Linked DNA regions of Oryzias latipes. The protein of the gene in region 1 purifies or fractionates together with the protein of each later gene. This does not show direct contact. Links are inferred from orthologs where the notes say so. Each region holds a gene or a part of one and is shown in the gene's direction. Other genes may lie near its edges.

Region 1 (9,736 bases):
CAATAACAGTTAATCAGTCGGGACATAAACATGCTGTGTTTAATACATTTAGCTTTTATTTTAACTTTTTAATGTAATGTGATTTTTTTTTTTAAATATTTTATTTGCCATATAATCTGAAATGAATAAAGATAAACATCCCTACATTGTCATAAAGTGTGCAGTAATGGTTATTCTAATCGGTAGATTGGAGGATGTGGATGTACATTACAAGCCATTAGTGCTGCTCACATATTATTGCAGATATTTTAACATATTTAATGACCTAGATTTCCAGGTGAGTTTAGGCGCTTTGCAGCCTTCAGTTGAAGCCTAGATTTCCCGCATTTCCTGTGACTTCTCCGTTAGTTTCCTACTGTAGAATGTACTGAGGTCATAATTAACACTGAGGTCTATTTCAGTTTTACAGAGGGATTATTGACTCTATATGTAGAACACTTGAGGCACTTAAAAGTGCATTCACAGGATTCCTGAGCTAGGCTTTATGGGGGCAGACAACAGGGTCAGTCACAGGGCAACCCCCCTGTGGAAACTATGAATGTTTAAAGGCTACATTTTGCAACCAATATTCTCTGATTCTACTGCAGTTTAAATCCTCAAATCTGCTTTCAACTAGAAACTAGCAGACTGCCTTTGCCTCTAATTTTTGCCTTTTATTTAAACTGTGGCAGCCTTTGCAAAGCTTGTAGTGATTCCAGTGCAATATAGTGGCAAATAAAAGTAATTCTAGGTTAAAATAGTTTTGGGAGTTCCAATATAGGTTCCTTATGATGCACAAATGTGTGTTGTGTTTTTACCAGTTATAGAACAACAGATTAGCTCTGTTTAAAGTTGCAGGTTTACATCCAAATTATTTTTTGCTTTTAATACTTAATACTGGGACCAAAGGCTTATTATGGAGACCAGTGTGTCGCGTCAGATAGGTTTCTGGAGTATGAGGTGTTTAACACAGGCTGGGGTATCTATGTGTAGCAGAAGTAAAGGCTTTGATGGTGCTGCTGGCAGTAGATGGGCCTCTTCTCTGGCTGCACCATGCTAGGACTACACTTTGTCACAAAGAAATCTTAATGCAGCCACTTTGGTCTGCAGAAAATTGCATTTTCGCATAAAATGACAGATGGAAGAGACATCTTGAGCAACTTTCAGGCTTCCTAGAGTTGTGGGGTTATCCATTATATTTAAGGACACACTCACTCTTAAGTTGGGAACCAAATCCCCAATCAACTGATGGGCAGACGGCAGCTTAAACCCATGGATCTGCAGCCACCGGATAGTTGCTGTTTGCTGCTGATGATGCTATTCGTCATTCTTCATTGAGTGCAGACCTCAATAATGGTGGCAATATAATTTGTTTATGATTTGAGATCACCTTTGCATATTAGGAAAAACTAATTTAAAGTTTACTGTATGTTTTTTTAACACTTTGCAGAAAGTTGAATTTTAACTTGAGGTATTCAAGTTATGACTATTTTTGTTTGCCAAAGGCTGGAAGAGCAGAGACCTGGTGACAAAAAGTCAACAAGTCAGCCGACTTACCTCATGCCAATCAGCAAAATGATGACGTTTTGTCAGAAATTGAACAATTATATTTGCCCCATGTGATGTTTTTTGTGCGTCCACTGTCCTTTGATTGTGGCTGTTTTTCTTTTTTGTTCAGGAGTATAAGCGCAAACAGCTGGAGGAGCAGCGCCAGTCAGAGCGGCTGCAGAGACAGCTGCAGCAGGAGCATGCCTACCTGGTGTCTTTGCAACAGCAGCAGCAAGACAAGAAGCCCCAGCTTTACCACTACAACAAAAACTTGGAGCCAAACAACAAACCTAATTGGGCCCGAGAGGTACCAGGCTGGGCTTGGTTTAAGTCACAGCGCCCTTCATGACGACACACTGTTGACCTTTCTTTTCACCGTCCTGTTCTAGGTGGAGGAGCGGAGTAAACTCAACAGGCAGGGTTCACCCAAAATCTGCACTACGGTCTCTGACACTAATATCCAGTCGCGTGCCGATTCTATCAGCCAATCAGGATCGGTTGCTCAGACACCACCCATGCAGAGGCCAGTGGAACCTCAAGGGGGGCAGAGCAAGGTTTGTGCTTATTGTGAAAATGCATGGATCTACATTTCTGCCTCCTAATTCCTCAGTTGCTTTACCTTTGACACTTTGCTTCTTTTTTTCTTTTCCATGTCTGTTTTCACTTTGTTCCCTCATTTACAAAATCCCCTTCCAACAAAAACATAACTGTGTCTTCTTCCCCACTTTGATGTCTTCCTGCGCTCTCACTTGGCTGCACCTCCCTCCTGGTCCTCTGCAGTTTCAGATGGCTCATTTGGTTCCTCTAAAGCCTTACGCTGCCCCTGTTCCTCGCTCTCAGTCCCTCTGTGACCAGCCCACTAAGAACATGTCCGCATTCCCCACTCAGGATCCTTCCCTCCTCCCCATACCTCGCCCCAACCACTCCAGAGAGCTTGTACGTCAGAACTCCGACCCCACCTCTGAAACCCCCGCACCACTTGCACATCAGATCAGGGAGGAACGTGGCCCTTGGATTCGTTTGCCAGATGTAGAGCTTCCTCCAAAGGTAGCATCCTCTGACTGGTTCCAACTGGGCATGAGATTACTCGGCTGTACAATAACACAAGCTTTGAAACCTCACATAATTCCTTAACAGTTTTGCTTTTTTTACACAAGGTATTGTTTTTAAAGACCAGTTTCATATCTAAAAATATAACATTTTCAGGTCCCTCAGAGGACAGCATCCATTGCTACAGCTCTTAATGCCAACCTGACCTCTGGTATTAGGCACCCGGTGAGAGCCAGGTACCAAAGACACTCAAGTCATTACATTGATCTTTATCCACGTTAGCACAGTTTTTAAATGATGATGACTATTACTGACTGCTTGTGATTATTGTATCCTCATGTCAGCAATCCAGATCTCAGCCGTAATGACCGTTGGGAGAGAGGCGACAGCATGAGCATCATTTCCAATCTGCCACAGACGGGCTCTCTGGAGAGGCATCGCATCCTCAGTGAGTCGCTGCTCCCCCACAGCTCTTCCTTCCTTCTCAGTATCAGAACTTCTCACTTAGAGCATTCTGGATTTTCTTTTCTTTTCGAGGTTCTTCTAAGATGGATTCGCCCATGCTTTCTCATGAAAGCCGCCATAGGCCAGGGGAATCTCGAACTTCCTCTCGCCCTGGGCGCCCTGCTGTGAGTGCTTCTTTCAGACAGTATTACATAGATAATGTGTCAATGCTTCTCTTCTCATGACACTGACATTACCAAATGGTTGTATATCTTATATTAACAGCTTTAACGTATTTTAACCCTTACTTCACATAATACATCACGTTAAGGGGAAGCTTTCTTTATAGTTTAAAGTCCTTTTTTCCCTTTACTCTGACCAAAACTGAATGCTTGGATTTGTTTAGATTTTTTACATTTTTTATGTTGCCTTCTTTGAAGTCTGAGCTCCACAAATGCTCATATTACATTCGTTTTGTTCTGAGGGTGAAAGTTGCTAAAAATCAAAGAATAAAAACAAAAGTAACAAAGTCTCACAGGAATGAAGGATTAGATGTGAAAATAGAGGTTAATTCAAACCTTATTTAAATAATTTTATTTCCTTCAAAGTAAATTAGTAAACGTATTGGTTATTGGACCAGAAAAAAGGGGATTGGATAAAGTGCCAATTTTTATAACTTGTCTTTGTCTTTTCCCAAAATCATTAAAAGTAAAAATTTGGCAAGAAATTGAAGTAATAACACAAAAGTTGGAAAGTAAAACTAGAAGTGACTAAAACACCTTTAAAAAAGAAAGTAAACAGAATCAAATCTCTAAAAACCAAAAAATATAAGACATGAGCTGAGTTTGTTGTGTGAACTTTTTAAAGTGTCAACCATGTTAGCTTTTCCACCCAGAAATAAATGACATTTCCAGTTTTTAAAAAAAGCTACACAGGAACCCCCCCCCCCCCCCCCCCCCCCCCCCCGCGCCTCTCTTCCATGTGTAGTGATGCGCAGCCAAAACATGAATCACCTCCCCTGTCCATCTCCTCGTCTTAAGCTTTTGTCTGGACGTTCAGACACGAGTTTGTCTGTCAGCAGTAATGTTTGTACTTTCAACTGTTAAGGTTAAGTGGAAAATCCTTTTCACAGAAGTGTATTATAAAGGATAAACTATATTTAGACACTGCCAGTTAAAAAACATCAATAAAGTTTTGGGAGGGCATTCAATTTAATGTTGACTATTGTAAAGTATCTATACTGAAACTAAACTGTACTTTTGATAGTGAAAATATCAATTATGTTTAGATTTATTCAAAGCTGCAGAAATGAAGCATAAGTTGTTGATGTAATGGTTGAAGTCGGCTCAAAAAATACATAATTTACTTCTGAAGAAATAAGTGAGAGCAGTTCATACGTTGTAGGAATTCTAATTGATGAATGGGCCTTAAATGTGTTTATTTCCTCTTTATTTACTCTGTGAACATTTATTTCACTTTGGATCCATTTACTATTGACTTTTCAGTTAATTTCATTTTTTTATATTTTGACTTTCTTGTCAGCCTTCGATAAGCAAGTAATGGCTAACAAATGTTTAAGAAAATGAAAACTGGAGCAATTAAACCATCAAAATAAAAAAAATTCATCTGAATTTATTTAGGCACTTTTAAGAGTTCACATGCTGGTATATGTGTATCTAAAGTTGTTGTTTTCTTCTTGTGACTTTCACTGCTGAGTGTTATGTAAAGACTAAACACTAAAAAGAAATTGTTATAAAATATCTCATGTTTTATGTTAGTGTTCTAACACTGATAATGCTGTTTATCTCAGTTTGGATAGCACTTTAATGAAACAACAAACACTGGTATCATTGCTCCTCATGTTTCTCCCTTTTTTTTAAATCTCTTTGGTGATTTTTACCTTGAATGTCCAGAGTTACAAGAGGGCTATAGGGGAGGTTAGTAACTCTGGCCTCTCTTGGTGTATGTTGTTGTGTGTTCATGCATGAATTTCTGTTGTGCTACTTGACCGTGTGATGTTCAGAATAGGTGAATGGCATGCTGTACAGTGTTCTCACTTGTCATTTTACTCATGTTTGAGTTTTTTACATTCAGTGAATTGAAGGACTGCACCTTTTGTCAGTTTGGTTCCGTTGTCTTGAGATTGTTGTCCGTAATGTTGTTTCATATCAATTTCTGTTGTTTTGATGACGCTCAAAGCTGCTATGAATGAATTCATAAAAAAAATGCTACTGAATGGGTTTGCAGGACCACGGCCTCTATGCCAAGGAGCGTGCTGAAGAGCCCCCGAGGCCCCCAGTCAAGGCCAATGATTACTCCTCTTCCTCAGAGAGCAGTGAGAGTAGTGAAGAAAGCGAGAGCGGTGAAGGACCAGAGGAGGAAGAAAGTCCAACAGATCGGTAACACATCTATTAAAATGTGAAAAAGTCACAAAACAGCTCAACCTTCACGACACTTTTTTCAATTTAGCTTCTTTTGAAAGCGTTATTCTCCTTGCAGTTCAAAGGTCTGTTTTTCTTTTTTGTTTCAGCCACAGAGACGCAGACACTGATTCAGTCAACACCATGGTTGTTCATGAAGACGAGGCTGAGGGGGGAGAAGGAGATCAAGCTGGAGGATATGGGGATCAGACTATGCTGGTGCAGAGAGTGAGTCATCCCTATGCGTGGGGATAAATAAAATGTGTTATGTTATGATTGAAATCTGGTTATAATGGAACATTTTGTTGCATAAAATTGTATGGTAATCAATATTTGATCCATATCTGTACAAAGTTATTTTTGTTTGATGGAGAAATATTCATCTTTTGCTAAATGCTCCATCCATTGAGTTCTTTTCCATTTAAACCTGATCAATACACTGAAGCATATGACTGTTCTATTAAGAAAACTGTTTCCATTGAGCAGATCTTCAACAACGTTTCCTTAAATTTTGAGACCTTACATTTTTTAAGACATTATTTCATTTATACTTTTAAAACGAGTTGCACTTGTTTTTGTTCGATTTTATCAAATGCTGAGGTGATCTCAGGTCTCACGTGTTTAGGTTTGGGTAACCTAAACCCCAATAATATTTAGCACTATTTTTTTTTTTAGAATCCTTTTGACTTTTTAGTAAAAATAATCTCCTCCGTGGTTTTGTGTTATTCATGCAGACCAGTAAAGCTGTTCTAAAAGACGGGCAAATATATTTTCCAATGGGACTCCAGATGTTATTTTTGGTTATGGAAAGCAGCTTTTGCATGAATTCATTTTCAGTTACTTGTTGTTGTTAGAAATATAAATTTCAAAATTAATTGAAAGCTCAATTTATTTCATGAAATTTGCCAAGCTAAACAAGTAAAGGCCTTACAGACATTTCTGTAAATGATTATCCTAGATTTAGGTCATTGATGTTACTGATCTGCATTATTGTGTGTGTGTGTGTGTCTTTGCAGACCCCAGAGAAGAGGAATCACAATGGATACACAAATTTGCCAGATGTGGTGCAGCCTTCCCATTCCCCCACTGACTCAGCCTCTCACTCCTCTCCGGGGAAGGACTCAGTTTATGACGTACGTTTACTGATTCTAAGTTTATCTGTCCCTCATTTTAGCTCAATTTTTATATATGTGTCATGTATGCCATCACTTCTCCATAAAATCTACCTATTAGTGGTCATGAACACATCTATTTAAATATGTTGGGAAATAACAGTTTGAAAATGCTTCCAACTTGATGATGACTTGAATAAAACCATAAACTCATTTAGCTGCTTTTCTCCACCAGTATCAGTCCAGAGGTTTGGTGAAAGCATCAGGCAAGTCCTCCTTCACCACTTTTGTGGATCTTGGCATGTACCAATCACCAGGAGATACAGGGGATACCATGTCTATCAGTGGTGAGTCAGAAGGTCATATCCTCTGAAGAATTTGATCTTTAACCCCTGAAAACTCCAAGCACCCATTTTTGTGGTTGTTATTGCTTATTTACTTTAGCATAGTTTAAGGTTTGTGTGTTAAACAAGATAGCTTTTTCCAACAGTTTGTAGTTTTATTTATTTAAAATATTTGAATTTGAGTAAATTATTGAGTTTATAAACATGTGAAACATTGATGGATTAAAAGTTAGCTATTATTCATGTCACTGTGCTAGATTGTTGGTTAAAAAAAAAAAAAGCAATCAGCTGGACTAGGTTGATCTCATACCAGCTGAAGATCCCATTCACCCTGGTGGTTTCCATCCTAGAAACCTATTTTTTCTCTCTGTTTTCAGACTCCAGGTTCGAGCAGCTAAAGATGGAGGTCAGGAAAGGATCCATGGTTAATGTGAATCCCACCAACACACGCCCCCCCAATGACACACCAGAGATCCGCAAATACAAGAAGAAGTTCAACTCTGAGATCCTGTGTGCCGCACTCTGGGGTGAGAACACATTCAATTGGCATGTGTCATTTAAAAAGACCACAGTTTAAATATCAACACTGATGAGTCTGCACCAGAATTTATTCTCGCAGACCAAACACACAAACTTTCTTTCTTAAAATGAGGTACTCTGTTTTTGCAAGTGAACCCCGATATGGTTCACCTACAGTTTGAATGGACTTTCTAGCAAACCCAGAGCAGAAAGCGATAAAAAACCACAGATGTATGTTACAAATGGAGTTAAAAAAGCATGTTAAAACGGTCCACAGTATGAACCTAAAGAAGCACATCTCATAAACCGGAAAAACATGTAGTATAGTAAAAATGTATATGGGGTTTGGGCCAGTCAGGCTTCTAAAAGCAAGGATTCCACTGAAGCTGTCAGAGGGACTTACTTGCAAGCTCTTTTCTTATCATGGTCAGTGCTCGTTTTTGGTTGTACCATCCCTAGATGTTTAGCTGTCGTTACCATGTGACATTTCCTGATGGTTCTGTTTGCTTCTGTGTAGCAAACAGAACCAAGGAAAGGGGTAAAAACCTTTGAAACAGGTCCACAAGAATATTTTAGTGGAACTTGACACGGAAAACGGTGGTTTATCACACCACTCATCTTTGATGGTCTAGTTTAAACAGAGCTGTGAGGGCACAGTGCCTTGTAATGAATGTTTGTGGCATTTTTGTACACCATGACATGCATTTTGAAAATGCCTCCTTTACAGTTCCAACTGATCATCTTTTGATCTATTGTAAAAATATTTCCAGTGGTCTTTTAATTATGATTATGCTGGTTTTAGCCAAAATTAAGAAAATTCTGTGTCATTTTCCAACACATAGTTTCTGCAGAGCAGCAGTAGTTCTTTAGAAATTCACCTCTGAGTTGTGGGCGGGGGCATTGGCGTATAGAAAGCCTGCCCCTACTTCCTGACATCCGTCTGTTTACAGGCTGCAAATGGGACCAAATGTTAAATGTCAACATGAATGTAGAAAATTGAAGTGGGATTTCATTTAGATAAAAATAACACCAGGGGTTATGATGCATTATATTTTGTCAGTGACTGTAAAAGAAATAAAGATGTTCAAACCCACTTTGGGCCATTTTAAAGCTGATAATTAAACAGTACCTGTTGATTAGAAAACTGATTTATTTACAAAATAAAATTTGATTCAAATTATAGGACTAGATTATAAATCCTTTTGACTTTTTTGTAGAATAGAATTTGATTACAGACTCATGGTCCAAATGTCAAAATAAATAACAAAGTCATAGAGCAGAATTAAAATACAAGTAAAACATAAATTATAAACTTAAAACGTAAAAGCTTAAAAACTTAGGGGCTTAAAATGGCGTCCACACCTGTACTTCCACAAATATTTTTGAAGTTGACTTGTTTTACATGAAAGTTTTAGATGAAGACAGAAGGAATCTGAATTCAATCAACCTCCTTGTCTCCAGGTGTAAATTTGTTGGTGGGAACAGAAAACGGCTTGAAGCTGCTGGATCGAAGCGGTCAAGGAAAAGTTTACCCGCTCATCAACTCTCGCAGGTTCCAACAGATGGACGTCCTGGAGGGCCTCAACCTTCTGATCACCATATCTGGTGATAACATCTGCTCATAGCTCTGAGATTAGTTAGTTTCATGGAGTACAAATCAAACCCTGTGAGCTTTTCTTAACTTTAGAACCTGACATATCCACAAATACTCAGAAAAAACACACAACTGCTTTTTGAGACTGTTGCATAAACGATACAATAAAAATGTAGAGGAGCTGTAGGTTAACACAGATTTTTTTCTGCTTGTTTCTAGAAGTCAGTATTTGTAATTTAACTCCCTCTGAATGTATAAAGAATGCACTTCTTCTATTAATATTTCTCTTTTGCATTAATGAAGGCAAGAAAAACAAGGTGCGTGTCTATTACCTGGCCTGGCTAAGGAATAAGATCCTTCACAACGACCCTGAGGTTGAAAAAAAGCAGGGTTGGACCACTGTGGGGGAGATGGAGGGCTGTGTACACTACAAAGTGGGTGAGGGACATGTGTTTTATCTACTAGCTTTATCTCTTCAGATGTTTGGATTGATGAGTTGGTAAATATTTGATGGCTAGTGTCTAATGTCGGGTTCTCTGTTTAGTGAAATACGAGCGGATCAAGTTCCTGGTGATCGCTTTAAAGAACGCAGTGGAAGTGTATGCCTGGGCTCCCAAACCTTATCACAAATTCATGGCCTTTAAAGTGAGTCTCTTCTTTCACTGTTTGGTGACAGCAGTTTAAGCCAATCGATGGGAAGGATATTATATTTCTCATTATCTTTGT
Region 2 (10,324 bases), on another chromosome or scaffold:
TAATCAGTAAGCTTTCAATTATGGGTGATGGGAAAGGGGGCGGGGTTGCTCAGCTCCGACAGTACCACCCACAACTAAGGGATAAATTTCCAATGAACTACTGCCGCACAACACAACACAAATTTTTTTATTTTTGGCTAAAAATGGCATAATCATAATCTAAAGAGCACCGGAGGCGCTATTAATATAGATCAAAAGATGATCGGAGTGGGACTTTACACTTGACCATGATGACCCATAACAATGCCATTAATCGTGCGTCTGTAAGCTCCAGTAACTCTTCATGCTTACATCATTGTTGCCTTCGCTGACTTGTCTCTCCTTTTGTCTTCTATCAGATGTTCCAGTGTTGGTTTGTCTCTTTTTGTTCATATCGGCGACAGTTTAGCTCAGGCGGTAGAGCAGGTCGTCCAACAACCGAAGGGTTGGCGGATCGATCTCCGCTCTCCCCAGCCAGCTGCCCCCCCCCCGAGCGCAGCCAGCCTGCAGCTCACCGTTCCCCCAGGGGATGGGTCAAATGAGGAGAACAAATTTCAGGTGTGTGACAGATAGTGGGACTTTAACTTTAACTATCTGAACAAAACCAGTCAGGAAAAATGGGCTGGAAACAACCAGTTCATTTCTTTCCACTGCTGCCAAAAGCATTCCGTCCTCTTTACTAAATTAAAACATTTTTTTTCAGTCTCCTGAAAGTGGAAATATTTCAAACATAGTTACAACAATATAACCTGAGACAAGAATGGAGTGGTTTGAATGATGCAAACTTGTATTTCTCTCTCAGATAATTTGATTTTGATTTCAATTAGACCGTAAAAAAATTAGTTCACTTTAATAGTGATGACTGAACATGTTCATTTGGTTGTTTAGTCAGTGTTGCTGTTGAACGGTTTCCCCGCCCAGTCTGGTGGTTTTGATTCTAACTTGGCGGGGGGAAATTGCTTTGGGCAGATGGACATTATTGAGGTGAGTTTGGGGTCTCTTTGGCAGTTTTAAGTTCCTTCCCACCCATACCACAGCCAGGTATGTGTGGGCAGAGGAGGCACGTCAGCCAGTACTTCACATGTAATCAGTCTCATCGTGAGTAACTAATGATAAAATAATAATATGTTCACTAATCTGTTCCTTAAACACAATTTATTTGACCTGTTTTTATCCTTAAAATCTCTGAATTTTGAGAATTTCCTGTTTAATTACAGCGCAGGCCGTGAGGTCATGGAGCACTGAGCTCTTCCTCACGGAGGATTGTGCAATCCCATGTTTACTGGGCTGACTGTGGTCGTTTTCTTCACTCAGCATACGCTGATAATTAAACGAGTTTTTTAAACAATTTTTTTTAGCATTGTAGACATTTTTATCACACAACCTAACTTTCCATTGAATAGTTAAATTTATTTCATGGTTGTCCTTCATTTGGTGTTTGGATCTGACACAAAGCTGCAATGAAATGGAACAAGGGGAGACAGAGCAAAACGACTGTGCTTGTTTTTGAGAAGTTACTATAGAAACAATAAATAATTTGTTTTATGAATACATAAATATTTTTGGAAGGATTTTTACTTTTGGTTTTGCACAAATTTAGGAAAATAGGAAATCATCAAATACTTTCTTGACCAATCAGGGAACGTAATTTGATGTAGCTTGAAAGGCTTTATTAACTCTGAAAATCAAATTTATTTTCACAATAACAGGTGCAAGACGATTTTTCCACTTTTGATTGTGATAAGAAGTTATACCAGAACCACTGGTATTTCATTATTTTTGTTTTTTTTTCCCCTTTCCTGCTTTTTCTTTCCTTTTTTGATTGTTCCTGGTGTTTGAGAATAATAAGGGTTCTTCAGTTGGTGTTTTTTTCATTTTTTATTTATTATTATTATTAAATTACTTGTAGTGTATGTAGATACACTCACTGGCCACTTTATTAGGGACACCGTGCTAGTTTCGGGTTTGACCCCCTTAGGCCTTCAGAACTGCCCTTGGTGGCATCGATTCCACAAGGTACTGGAAACATTCCTCAGACTTTGGTCCATATTCACATGAAAACATCACACAGATGCTGCAGATTTGTCGGCTGAACATCCATGATGCCAATCTCCACATCCAAAAGGTTCTCTATTGGGTTGAGATCTGGTGAGTAGAGGGTTGGGTAACCAAGTCCAGTTCTCTTATAGAGTCAATAGTTCCAGCTCGGAACTCACAACCTCCACCTCATGCGCCGGGCTCTATAGGTAAAGGAGAACCTCTCAGCTGATGGCCTGTCCAGATCGAATTGAGTTCTTCTTCCAGAGACAGATTAAATTATGCACCACACACACACTTCATTTGTTTAGTTGTTTAGTTGGATTTCAAGGTTTGCAGGTTCATAGAACTACTTTGGACCTGATGCAGGCACTCAACCCCTTAAGATGTCCTGGATGAGCCCCCACTATTCATGAAGCTCGGGAAGCTTTTAATTCCTTTTCACTCCATTTTGGATGTTTCATGGTTTTATTTTGTTTGTTTTTTACATTTTGTCCCATTTATCCTATAAACTTTATGTCAGAAATAAAATATTATCAGCACCAAAAACATAATTTTTAACTTTGACAAAGTGCCCATTTCGCACTTGGAGGAAAAAACTGATTCCAACCACAAAGAAAGGGGGAGCACCGAATTGGAGGATTTGGTAAACAAACTGTTTTCATTCAGAGGTTTTGCATTTCATGACATTCTCATTTTTACTTGTCTGTAGTCCAAACAATATCAAGGAGGGGCTGCAGGTTGTCACGTGTGTCATCACCTACAGTCAGGTGGGCTTCAGAACTGGTGCCTTTAAGCCAAAGTAAACATCCAGTGATGTAACCAAAGCTGTGCTCAGCTGCAGTCCTCTCAGCAGCTAGTCAGTGAGACGATGGGGAGAATAAGTGGAGTGGATCTAAAATGGAAGCCCTCCTGCTTTTAGCAGCAGCAGCAACCCAAGTGCTGACAGTCGTCAAACTCCACGAATGAGCCCGACTCGCCTCGTTTTTCAGTCTAAGAGGAGAATGTCATGAACGAATTCTGGAACATTTACTGCTCAGACCCTCTTATGTAATGTTGCAGATTGAGTTTTGCCTTCAATTCAGCTGTGAAATCCAACAATGCCAACCATCAGGGTGCTCACCATGCCTCTCAGCTCTTTCCAATTAAAGCTTGAGTCAGCTGTTCCAAAACAGGCCCAACATTAAAGAGGTCTTCAACAAAAAAGCATGCGCTTCTGGTTATTTGGCCCCAACTTGTAATTAAATTGATTTCTTGTGATCAAAACTTTATTGTATCGCCTCAATTAGAGTGTGTGGGTAAAATACGCAGAGCTGCTGGTTATTTTTACATTTAGTTGTGACAGTAACAAACATGAAGAAATGTGTGGAATGTGACATGGTTGTATGCTGGGATGTTCTGCCCCCTTGTGATTTAAACGGTACATCTAACAACCATAGCCAATTTTACACACACACACACACACCCATACACACACACACACACACACACACACACACACACACACAAACAGTCTTTTGATTTTAGTAGTTTTTCATTTATAAACTGTTTCAGATGAAAGAATAGCAAAGTTCTGAAAAAGACTAACATTTTTTATGTCCTGTGTTTTTGCCTTCATCGCGCATGAGCACAATTTTTCAGCAACGATTCTTATATTTTCCATGATGACTGCCATCTTTTATGGTTTAACTGAAGAAAATTTGACTGCATTAGATAATTCATAATTTTGAAACACAGCTTTTTCACGATTAAATTGTGCAATTTTGCACCTTTCGTTTGAAGAATGTATGAGGAAGGTTGCCTCTATAGCTTCATTTTAATTTTTTAAAGTATGTCTTTTAAACAAATTAAGATTTTTATTTCCTTTACAGTAGCAAGGAAATGCGATCTACATGAATAACAATGGACATGTGGCTTAATCGTCTCCTATTTCTCGCTATTATCGCCAAGGGGCGACATATTCCTCCACAATCTGTCCATTTCCCTCTGGCGTTGTCCTGTTCTCGTCCCGGGGTTAGTGACGTCACAACCAGGACCGGGGATCAAGCTGAACGTGAATATCAGAATCAAACCGGAAATTGAGGCGGAGTCCTAACAAATAAAAGCAGGCTCGATTTAACAAAAAGATTCTGAAAGTTAGCATGAAAAAAGGAAAATAACCAAACTAAGGTACGAGTAAACTATAAACAACATCAGTTCACCAACAGACATACATGTAATTTTACATGTAATTTATATGTAATTTTACATGTATTACATTTAGGCCTGCAGCCTTGCTTCAATGACCATTAGGTAAATACACTTCTGACCGTTAGCAGTTGGTAAATAAAAGATTTTTTTTTTACGTTTTGAATTGCATACTCATTTACCCACATCACAAAGGATAAAGTGTAACCATAGAGCAAAACAAAACAAAATACGATTTTAAATGGATAGGGATTGACCAAAAAAGTAACTTGTTGATCTTTCTATTTTATTTAATTCTTATGAAAATTTTTCTGGATTAAATATTTGTTGTTTGATGCCATCATATGGACTTCAAAAGAAAAGAAAATAGTAAACTACATGGAACTGCTGTTAGCGAAACTGCTGAAACATCTGCAAAATGATAAAAAACACCTACACTTCAAACACATATACCGTTAAACTGTGAAGAACCTCTTTTTAGATGTTCCTCACCCAGACAGATATTGGCAAATGAAAACACATTAATTTAAAAAAAGAATAGAAAGAATAAATGTTTCTGCTAATATTCCACATTCATTTGGTTTCAAAGTTTTCTCTTCCTAAACATTCGTATCATCTTTTCTTTACATTTTTGTATGCTGTTGCTAAGATTTTCATTTTTGACATTTAAAATAGGTCAAATAGACGACAAAACACCTGAAGAAGTACAAGTTGAATATGTCTAAAAATGTACTATTTCAAAAAAGAAAAAAGTTAATTATATATTAAATAAAGATAGTAGTGGTGAATAGACAATAAAGCAATAATAGTACAGTGTACATTTTTGTTTATCACAGGCATAAAAATGTGGAAAAATGCACACGTTTGTTATCATGAACAATATTTAACCATATTTAATTAAACTGTGTTTTCTGACTGCATTTAATATTTTTCAAATTTCTAATATGTAATTTTAATTTACTTGTTTTTGCAAAAATTGTACTTTTTAATTGAATTTGCCCTGTTCAAACCTAGCTTTATTTTGAAAAATCGGAACGGAAGTGAAGAAGTGTGTATCTCCTAGCTTGAAAGGAGGCTGATCGAGGCGGAGGCAGTCAGCCTGCGACGGAAAAACAAGCGACAACACGTCGAACAGTACAGGTTTAGTCAGTGTTTGAAGAAAGAAAATGAGATAAACCAGAGGAGATGAGGACTTAAACGAATTTTTTTGTCACTTTGACGAGGGTTTGGTCACTTATTATTGTTGGACCCGCGCGCGCTATCCCTGTGCTGTGACGCTTGTCTGCCCATTCTGACTGGAGTGAACACTAAGGTAAGGTAAGCCTGAAATACACAACTGTGTGAGTTGCTTCTGCTTACATTACTCTTTCCAGCTGCGCGTGCCGTAGATTGAAAGGGGTTTTATTGGTCTACAGAATTATGTGTGGAGGTTTTCCTCCGTAGTGGGAGTGGGAGGCTCGGAGTGTCACTTTCTCGCGTTGAGACGCTTGGTCTTTGTCCACTCTGACCACAGACTTGGCTCGAATCTCGCTCCAGTGTTCGCGAACCACTTTTTAAACCCCCACAATTGTATAAATTTGTTTAAATTCCCACACTTAAAATCATCAATTAAAATGTTCACTAACAACATTTGTACTTTTTCGGTTAGTAAATATTAGAGGGGCCTGACTCACAGACCATGGTCGGTGGTGGTGGATTCCAGGCTGTGGTCCGGCTTTGTTTAAAATAGTTTCTTTTAACTTCAGTTCTACAATTTCGTACTTTTTTGCGTGGAAAACAATTTCTGCCATCATAGGTGTTTGGTTGGTGTGGTTCGAGATCCTGCTGACAGCGCTACGGCTCACACAATGAAGCACACTTGCCAAAGAAGCAGCAGAAATCGGCCGGGCGCCTGGTGCCACATGCCGAGCTTGTCAGTGCTCCTAGCGGCCGTTGGTGGGAACTGCACCATGCTGTCGCCTCATCAGCCCCTGTGGATCAAAGGACGCCTTGTCTGTTCTCTCACTGACTTGATGCTGGATATTTTTGTACATTTTATTTTAGATTTAGAATTTGGGTTTTCAGATTTAAATCCAGGTGTTTAAAGGTGCTGAAAGTTCTTGCGTGGTTCAGGTAGACTTGTCACACCTACTGCAGACACACCCTGTGCAAAGCGCTCTCCCGGTCTACAGTCCGCACTGACAGGTATGAGGAAGGAGGCTGCAGGTCCTGTACTGCAGAAACTCCCGTTGCATCATTTCCTTGGAATTCGATACTTGGAGCAGAAATGTTGTTTTAGAGATGAATTTCCACCCCCCTCTATGTTTCTGACACCATTCTCCCTGTCAGCTATTAATAACTCACTCTGATGAAAACTGTGGAGTTTTTTTAATATGTTCTTGTTTTTTTTTTTCATGAGGGAGGACATACATGAAGAAAATTTAGATATAAAACTGCATTTATGAGTATTTCTTTATTCAGATCGTTGTGAATCAGGAGCCGATGAAAAATTACTGTCGGAAAAAGCTTGTTGCTTTGACGTAGGCGTTTACAACGGCAAGCCACAAACTCCCTGCTCTGCTCCATTCTGATGCCTCCACTAGTACACGACTGTGCATCTTCGTTGACCTCGTCTGAGGTGGAATCTGGCTCAGAACTGTACGGCTGGATAGCTGCAATATTGCCCGCCCTTTTTGTGAAACCCCTAACGTTAGGTTGGGATGTGTGAGGGGCTCTAAGCTAGCGGGAGTTAGTGTAAACAGATAGATGACGAGATGTGGGGGTGGGCTTTCTCTGTGTGCCCACACCTCAGAGGCAAATTTCTGATGAACTCCTGCCACTCTGCATAACTATGTCCTAGAAAACGACACAGATTTTTTGATTTTGGCTAAAAAGAGCATCATCACGCTTTTACAGTAGATCAAAAGATGATCAGAGTTTGACTTTAAGCTATGTTCTCATCGCCCTCGGCAACATGTTTTTCAAGCAGACACCTTCGATGAGAAGTCTATGTAAACACTGTTTTATGGGCTTTTTTGCTCAAAACTCTTGTGTTCATGCCTGGCTACGCAAGTTTTTATGACAATGAACACGCGTTGGAAGTTAAACCAGGTCGAACTTTGACCAATCAAGGACTTGGATTTTGGAGTGACATATATATGGTTTCCTTTGTAATTCACGAAAGTGCCAACGGTTTGAAAGTTGATCATGAAGGAGGAATTAATGATTGTGGTTTGTGCCCGGCTGGAATTCTGGCATCAAGTCTTTAATATATTGGAATATAGCTGTCAAAGAAAAGACAAAAAAATAAAACCTGGAGCAAGATTTACCAGATTTGACTTTTTGCACCAAACCTTTTCTAGTACATGGTAGAAAAAGAAAAAAAAAGGGTACTTTAACATGCATTAAATGCATGGTGTGTATTAGAGGTCCAACGGATCACGGATGACCCTTGATGACCCCCCCCCCCCCCATTTAAATCGATTGTCCGTTCAAACCAAAGACAATTTGTGCGTCAAATTCAATTAATTTGAGTTAAAATAACAAAAATGAGTTTTTTACAAATACATCATATTGTCAACAATCACGATTTTGAATATGTGATTTAGAAAAATGTAAACAATAATTACTGTATTCTACTATGGATGTATTGTGAAGCTTCTAGGAGTGTGAATTCTACATTTAGGTTTTAAATATTGTTTTCAGAATTGCCTATTTTTATTCATATATTAAATGGATCCGTTTTTTAGTTTTTAGTCGTTTCTTTTAAAACAAACCCGATCTTTCCTGTCATCTTCTTAACCGTTTATTCCCTTTCGGGGTCACGGGGTTGCCGGAGCCTATCCCGGCCACTTGGGCGTAGGCAGGGGATACCCTGGACTGGTCGCCAGTCTGTCACAGGGTAGAATATCCTCAATCACACATCCATTCACTCTCACACTCACACCTATCGACAATTTAGAGTTGCCAATCAACCTATGTAGCATGTTTTTGGACAGCGGGAGGAAGCCGGAGATCTCGGAGAAAACCCACGCATGCACGGTGAGAACATGCAAACTCCACACAGAAAGGTCCCCCATCTTTCCTATAAACCAAAAATCAAAAGTACATTGGAGTAGAATATTACAGTATTTTCAGAACTATGAGCGTACCAGATTATAAAGCGCTCTATTTTTGAACTTTTTGTGTTATATAAGGTGCATTAAGGAAGACAATAGAGTCACAGTCCGTTGGTTAGTCAGACTTTTTTAACTTTGTTCACAGTTATTCTAGAACTCGTTCGTAATCCGCTCTGGTAGAAACTTTAGACATGTTATTGTATTCGCAATACCTCCAACTTCCGATCTTATTTGCAAAACGTAAAAAAAACAGACTATTTACTCTACGCTAACTCCCAACCTTGTTAGTAACGAAAAAAAAAAATATTACACCGCTACATATTAACTGAGTTGGCATGATCATAATAACACCCAACTAACCATTTTATAAGGGTACCTCACAAAATCGCTTTAAAATCAGTATCAGTATATCTAAGGTGTTTCAGATAATTTTTTGGAAAAAAATTAAGGTTTTTAAGGTCACCATATAGTGTAGAAAATACAGTAGTCCAATATTTTCTTCCTCCCATTTTCTGATCTAGCTCAATTGAAAGTGTAATTGTTTTCTACCTGCTAAAATTCTTAGGTCTGTCGGAGAGATGAAGGAAATATAAAGACTAGATTACATGTTAGTATTGGTTTTGAGATGATGTCTTTTTCATTGTCAACGTGATCATTTATAATAAGCGGAATGGGTTATCACACATCCAGTCTAACTGTATGTACCACAGCAGTCTGACTGCATGTAGACTGGTGGTACATGCAGTTTTGTGAAAGCATTTCCTTTTATGTGACCCTGGAATCTATCAGGAAAAGAGGGTTCATGCTGCTACCAAGCAGAAGCAGACGGAGCGTGGTGTGTGGTCTTCAAATTGAAATTGTTTGTTTTACTTCTCTTCTTCCTTTAGTTTGCTTAAATCTTCTTGGGTTAGCTTACTGCAGCACGTATCACCAGATAGAAATGCACAAAAGACAATCCTTTTGTCTTTGCTGTCAAACAGTTGCAGGGTTGATATTTGGGTTGAAGTAAATCATTAATAGTAAATGTAATTACATTACTCGTCTGTAAAACTTATGTTCAACCCATGTTCCTATAGAGAAGAGGTCTGGTGGTGGTTCCTGTGACTCAGTGCCAGGCTGCAAAACAGGCAGCAAAAAAATAAATAAATACATAAACTGAATAACTGCAGTCTCTAGGTCCTGTGACCCATATCATCACTCTGCCTCTGCCGTGCTCAACACAAATGTGGCAAACAATAACTTTCACCATCCTCACTGACACCTGAGATGCTTAGGTTGTACAGTAGTTAGGATTGTGCCGATACCATCGTCCATCGTGAAGGCTGACTGACATCACTATGGAGAGACACCATCGTGATGCCACGCCCCCGCCACGCTGCGAGTCGACACCATAAGCCGCAGTTACATGTGCAAAATATCTTAATCGGATCAATGGTCGGAATAGAATTCAACCGTGTACATGGGCCCAGAAAAACTTTTTCATATTATAACAAACGTTCACATGGGTCACACTTTCGGTCGGAATAAATCCTTCGCACATGCGCAGAAGTGTTTGAAATACCGGAAGAAGAAATGAGTTCTGCTGAGAGGCTACATACCTAGTAGGCCTGCACAATATACCGCACATTTATCGTTATCGCGAAATCAAGCTGTGCAATATGCATACCGCAAAAGACGGCAAAAATCGCAATAAATTATTACCTTAAATGTGCTAAAACAAACTCATGGCAGCTTGAAATATTGAACAAAAGAAATAAATCCCTTTATGCATTTAACCAATCAGAAGGACCCATTTACGTTGTTGATCAATCAGATGAGCCCTTTTATGTTTGATGTTTGCCTCCTATGTCGACAAGGGTCATTTGGAGTATAATTTTTAAACTGTTGCAGTGAAATGGAAATTATGTTTTTGTTTTTTTTGCTATTTGTTTATATACCGCAATTTATATCGTTATCGCAATATTAATCACCAATATCGCATATCGCGAGTTTTCCTCATATCGTGCAGCCCTAATACCTAGATA

Evidence for each region. The genes of interacting proteins can lie anywhere in the genome.
Region 2: the proteins of mink1 (region 1) and nck2 purify together in Homo sapiens (affinity purification with mass spectrometry; 3 studies listed by BioGRID and IntAct, counting the BioPlex papers as one, with this or other methods). This does not show direct contact. The link is inferred for Oryzias latipes from reciprocal best matches to the Homo sapiens genes MINK1 and NCK2.

The regions. Positions count from the first base shown.
Region 1 is NC_019872.2:15,689,023-15,698,758, reverse strand, and holds part of mink1 (misshapen-like kinase 1), read left to right. Parts: intron 1-1,657; coding exon 1,658-1,834; intron 1,835-1,916; coding exon 1,917-2,081; intron 2,082-2,307; coding exon 2,308-2,574; intron 2,575-2,733; coding exon 2,734-2,813; intron 2,814-2,921; coding exon 2,922-3,025; intron 3,026-3,114; coding exon 3,115-3,206; intron 3,207-4,934; coding exon 4,935-4,958; intron 4,959-5,268; coding exon 5,269-5,420; intron 5,421-5,551; coding exon 5,552-5,669; intron 5,670-6,457; coding exon 6,458-6,574; intron 6,575-6,788; coding exon 6,789-6,900; intron 6,901-7,274; coding exon 7,275-7,424; intron 7,425-8,877; coding exon 8,878-9,021; intron 9,022-9,313; coding exon 9,314-9,448; intron 9,449-9,554; coding exon 9,555-9,655; intron 9,656-9,736. UniProt on the Homo sapiens protein: Serine/threonine kinase which acts as a negative regulator of Ras-related Rap2-mediated signal transduction to control neuronal structure and AMPA receptor trafficking.
Region 2 is NC_019879.2:10,279,377-10,289,700, forward strand, and holds the start of nck2 (cytoplasmic protein NCK2), read left to right. Parts: upstream 1-5,249; 5' UTR 5,250-5,520; intron 5,521-10,324. UniProt on the Homo sapiens protein: Adapter protein which associates with tyrosine-phosphorylated growth factor receptors or their cellular substrates. Maintains low levels of EIF2S1 phosphorylation by promoting its dephosphorylation by PP1.